Linked DNA regions of Saccharomyces cerevisiae S288C. The protein of the gene in region 2 binds, or shares a complex with, the protein of the main gene of each other region. Each region holds a gene or a part of one and is shown on either strand. Other genes may lie near its edges. A codon is read from its position in the direction of its gene.

Evidence for each region. Proteins that work in one complex are often made in the same cells at the same time.
Region 1: the proteins of QCR10 (region 2) and QCR9 are in contact, whole or in part, in a cryo-EM structure (PDB 8YIN), measured with the Saccharomyces cerevisiae proteins. Residues at the interface, in NP_011864.1 of Saccharomyces cerevisiae: Asn29 (codon at 2,102), Leu32 (codon at 2,111), Trp33 (codon at 2,114), Gly35 (codon at 2,120), Ala36 (codon at 2,123), Leu39 (codon at 2,132), Gly40 (codon at 2,135), Phe42 (codon at 2,141), Val43 (codon at 2,144), Glu46 (codon at 2,153), Leu55 (codon at 2,180), Tyr56 (codon at 2,183), Lys58 (codon at 2,189), Leu61 (codon at 2,198); in NP_011699.1 of Saccharomyces cerevisiae: Arg13 (codon at 665), Asn14 (codon at 662), Ala15 (codon at 659), Val16 (codon at 656), Val18 (codon at 650), Gly19 (codon at 647), Phe22 (codon at 638), Ala23 (codon at 635), Phe26 (codon at 626), Gln29 (codon at 617), Thr30 (codon at 614), Val31 (codon at 611).

The regions. Positions count from the first base shown.
Region 1 is NC_001139.9:858,563-861,074, forward strand, and holds QCR9 (ubiquinol--cytochrome-c reductase subunit 9), read right to left. Parts: upstream 915-2,512; coding exon 912-914; intron 699-911; coding exon 501-698; downstream 1-500. Other genes in the region: protein translocase subunit TIM13, read left to right, coding at 1-42; E3 ubiquitin-protein ligase UBR1, read right to left, coding at 1,339-2,512. UniProt on the Saccharomyces cerevisiae protein: Component of the ubiquinol-cytochrome c oxidoreductase, a multisubunit transmembrane complex that is part of the mitochondrial electron transport chain which drives oxidative phosphorylation.
Region 2 is NC_001140.6:105,872-108,622, forward strand, and holds QCR10 (ubiquinol--cytochrome-c reductase subunit 10), read left to right. Parts: upstream 1-1,954; coding exon 1,955-1,960; intron 1,961-2,023; coding exon 2,024-2,251; downstream 2,252-2,751. Other genes in the region: oxysterol-binding protein related protein OSH7, read left to right, coding at 184-1,497.

The DNA of each region.
Region 1 (2,512 bases), on a different chromosome or scaffold from region 2:
ATCTCCAGAATCCAGAACGCCTCCGCTTCTGGCGAAATCTAAACACACCATCAGGATCAATTTACTGCGCAGTATGTACTCGTACTTGTATATAAGATTCAAAGGATACCAAGAAAATGCTATTACGTTTAATAACGTCGAAGAACAGTATTGCACTATACTTGCTTGGTATAGATATGTACAAAATATATGTATATACATAAAATGAGTTATTCTTTTTCCTAATTCTCTTTTTCCTTTAGTAGAATATAAAATTATAATAAGGATTTTGTGAACATCTGACAGACAGGCTCGTTCGTGTCTATTTCCATTCTGAAATTTGAATGCGCTTTGGCGAGACATAGATTTGTGTCAAAATATGAAGTTGAGTGCCTTTATGAGGTTGGGTTGAACATGAACAACCAGCCAAAATAAAAAAATAATAAATAAGACGAGTGCCACTTATATAGCTTGAGAGAGAGAGAGAGCGTTTGCACGTATATGTGTGACATAATCAGCGTTTACTCATCATCGTCGTCTCCATCGCCTGCAGCTATTCGAGCCTTGACATCTTTCCATAATTTTCCTTTGTTGTGATTCTCGTACCATGAAGTAATAGCAGTATCAAATACAGTTTGGAAAACAAAGGCACCTGCAAAGATAGTACCAACAAAAACAGCGTTTCGTTTGAAAAAGGTTTTATATAGTGATGAAAAAGACTACTCATAATTTATGCATTGTTAGTAACCTGAATGGAAACGCATGGAACATATTCATAGAGCTGCTGTCACCAATTTCATAAGCTTCGCTAAGTCGTTGCGCTCATCGGTGGGAAACTAATTTCCAAAGCCCATGATACTTGGCTAAGGAAGATTCCACGGATAACATTTTTAGCCTGAAATGTGAAGCAGCACACACACACACCAACATACCATTTTAGTCCGTATTGCTATTGTTGCTTTACGAAATTGCGAAGGATATGAAAATCAACCTTCAACGATTATTGACTATCCGTGACAGGACATTAAATACAACTGCTAAGCTAAAGTTTGAGAGGGGATGTCATTAGGGAAAGGCCCAAGGATTGAGCAGCTTTTAGGTCCTAGAATTCTTTCGGCATTGACTTCCCCGCGTTTGATTGGGTCGTGTATAATGATACATATTAACAACTGGGGAGTTCAAAAGTTGCCTTCGCTAGATAAGGAAACTTATGATAGTCACTTCGAAGTATTTGTAATTAGGTTGGTATTACTTCTTTGTTAATAATAAATAAAAGTCAATCGACGCGCAAATGTTTAATAATGTATAAGTTTTTATATACAAATATGTCAACTATAAAACATAGTAGAGGGCTTGAATCTACCAAATCTCTCGCTCATCAGAGTCATCATTATCATCAGAGTCATCCTCATCGAGGTTTCTTGGATTTGTATTTCTTATGATAGTAGCTCCATCAAATTGAGGTCCTAAGAACTGCAATATTGGTGGGGGATTCTGAGGTGCATCATCATCGCCATTTCCCTGCGGTTGTAGAGTGTTCCTAAAGTTTTCGAAGAATTGGAAAAAATCACGTACTCCGCCACCAGCAATACCTTCTGCGCCAACCCCAAATAAGTTGGCGGCCTGTCCAGTTTCATCATCAACATCCATTTCGTCATTTCCCTCCGTAAAAAACCCGTCTTCTCCCTCTTCCATATCTTCATCATCTTCATCTGTTGGAGGTATTCTTCTTGGCCTTGGTTCTCTATTAAATGCAAACAAGAAACCATTGGAAAGTATAGTCACTCGAAATTCGTCACCCATTACTCTACTAATATAACCTGGAATTTCATTGTTAATCCATAATCTGTTTAAGTGCTCATATCTTTTCAAATTCAAGGTGGTTAAATCACCTCTTCTCATGGCATTTCTACCAACTTCACCATGCGAATTTAGATATGGTGCAGATATAAAAATATTAGAAGGAGGCTGTGTCAAATGGAGACAAACTTCACTTGAATTGGGCATCAGGAAGGCGCCAAATGGTTTAAAACAATTTTTATTCAAATGCTTGGTCATTTCATGGCGGTCCGCTCTTAAATGCACTTTGACACCACATGTCAAACATATTTTGAAATCTAATCGATTATCCGCATTCTTCATATGCTGAGAACGCTCTTCACGTAGCTTGATTTCCTTAGATTGGGTAACGTAAGTATTCAAATATTTTGATAAATCTATCAGTTTTATAATCCCACAATATTCATATGGGATGTTCTCCAAATATGGATGCGATACAATGGACTCCTGCGTTGTCAAAAGATCGACTAAGGATTCTTTTTCAGTAATCATTTTCAATGCCTTATTGACAAACTCGGCGGTATCTTCGAATTCCAGTTCTTCTTCAACCTCATGACCGTTGATGACCAGCGTTTCATTTTCAGAATCTTTCACTAATTCGTGTAGCACTTTGATAAAGACTAAGCACCTTCTTATCGTAGGAAGAAGACTCTTCAACAGGAAGGTATAAGCTAGATCATAAATAATACTTTCG
Region 2 (2,751 bases):
GAATGTTAATTCGCTCGTGCGTACTAATTTTTCCGAGGTCACTCGCAAATCCAGAATTCTAAAGGATGAAAGTATATTTTCTGAAATCGTCAACAAAGAAGGGATGTGATATATTCAAAATGGAAAGATTCCTCCTTCTTTCATTTAGAAATAGGAAACTAACCAGTAAATTAGAAACAAAGAATGGCTCTCAATAAACTAAAGAATATACCTTCTTTAACAAACAGTTCTCATAGCTCAATTAACGGCATTGCATCCAATGCTGCAAATTCCAAACCAAGCGGAGCAGACACGGATGATATCGATGAGAATGATGAATCTGGGCAAAGTATTCTATTAAATATTATTTCCCAGCTGAAGCCAGGTTGTGATTTATCTAGAATCACACTTCCGACATTTATTCTGGAAAAAAAATCGATGTTGGAGAGAATCACTAATCAATTACAATTCCCAGATGTTCTTTTAGAAGCACACTCCAATAAAGACGGGCTGCAAAGGTTCGTTAAAGTGGTAGCATGGTACCTAGCAGGTTGGCACATTGGGCCCAGGGCTGTGAAGAAGCCCCTAAATCCCATTCTTGGAGAACACTTTACAGCTTATTGGGATTTGCCTAACAAGCAACAAGCCTTTTACATTGCAGAACAAACGAGTCACCATCCTCCTGAATCTGCGTATTTTTACATGATTCCAGAATCGAATATTAGAGTTGATGGAGTTGTTGTGCCAAAATCGAAATTTTTAGGAAACTCAAGTGCTGCAATGATGGAGGGGTTAACTGTATTGCAATTCCTTGATATCAAGGATGCAAATGGTAAACCAGAGAAATATACTCTATCGCAACCAAATGTTTACGCAAGGGGAATTCTGTTTGGCAAGATGAGGATTGAATTGGGAGATCACATGGTCATTATGGGTCCTAAGTATCAAGTGGATATTGAGTTCAAAACAAAGGGCTTTATTTCTGGTACCTATGATGCAATTGAAGGTACAATTAAGGATTACGATGGTAAGGAATACTACCAAATTAGTGGTAAGTGGAATGATATTATGTATATCAAAGATTTGAGGGAAAAAAGCTCTAAAAAGACTGTTCTCTTCGATACTCATCAGCATTTTCCTCTAGCTCCTAAAGTCCGCCCATTGGAGGAACAGGGAGAATACGAATCGAGAAGGCTTTGGAAGAAGGTTACGGATGCGCTGGCTGTACGTGACCATGAAGTAGCTACAGAAGAAAAGTTTCAGATAGAAAACCGCCAAAGAGAGCTGGCCAAAAAGAGGGCCGAAGACGGCGTTGAATTTCATTCAAAACTATTTAGAAGGGCAGAGCCAGGTGAGGATTTAGATTATTATATTTACAAGCACATCCCTGAAGGGACCGACAAGCATGAAGAACAGATCAGGAGCATTTTGGAAACTGCCCCGATTTTACCAGGACAGACATTCACTGAAAAATTTTCTATTCCGGCTTATAAAAAGCATGGAATCCAAAAGAATTAGGCTTCTCATTCTATTTTAATTATACTAGTACGATTTCTCACTCTGTAATTTAATATCAGTGTAATATGCACCTAGTTATGGGTAGTTTTTGCTAACGTTACGAGCCGCGAAACTGTCCTCAATCTTCACCACTACCTCTAATGACTGAAGAATGCTATGCGATATAACGCTGTCGCACTTTGAATATATACTTATATTTACATAGTTTTCAAGTGCGTATTACTATTGCAAAGTAGTATTTTGTCACGTGATTTTGATCCAATTAAAACTAAATATGGTTCAACCCGTTGTTTCCGCATCAAAAAACCATACCATTTATCAAGGGGACGGGATATATCACATAACAGTTTGAATGCATAATTTGTTATAGATATCTTCTGGAATAATCTTCACAGCAAAAGCGCAAGTCGAATAATATATCGATAAATACAATCCATAAGACTTAAAACTAACCTCAATGGCGGTAAGTATCCTATCATATTATGTGAGCTAGAACCGAATTAGTATACTAACATTTATAATACAGTACACTTCTCATCTGTCTTCAAAAACTGGTCTACATTTCGGTAGACTTTCTTTAAGAAGTTTAACAGCTTATGCTCCGAATTTAATGTTATGGGGTGGTGCTAGCATGCTTGGGCTATTTGTATTCACAGAAGGATGGCCTAAGTTTCAAGATACGCTATACAAAAAGATTCCGTTGTTAGGACCTACATTGGAAGATCATACTCCACCAGAAGATAAACCTAATTGAAGCCAAAACATCCAACCGGCTGAGTGATTTTATTTATTTGTTTTACGTTCTTTTCTATCATTTTGGAAGAGGAATTAATGCAAAACACATTTGTATTTTTTTTTATTTTTGCATATTCTCGATTATCTATACATATTTTTAAACTGGATCATAAAAGGTATAAAAAGTAATTGATCCATACAACATTTTTAAATATTTACCCCTCTATTTTCAGAATATTTACTAAAACATCAGTTATCAAAGAGTAGGGAAAAGTTAACTACAGGTTTGTTTTTCCTCTTTTTATGTATCTTTTGAGCTTTGTAATTGGGCAGCACATCTCTATGTTTTCAGGGAAACCTATTTCATTCGCCATTTTGATGATTTAGGCATACGCCAATGCTAACGCCGTTTCTTGTAATTTCTATTTTTTCAAATGGAGTACTTTACCTTCCTCCCGCAGCTGGAACTTTCAACCCGCCGGAAGAAAAGACCAAATAATATTATAATTAATATTTAAA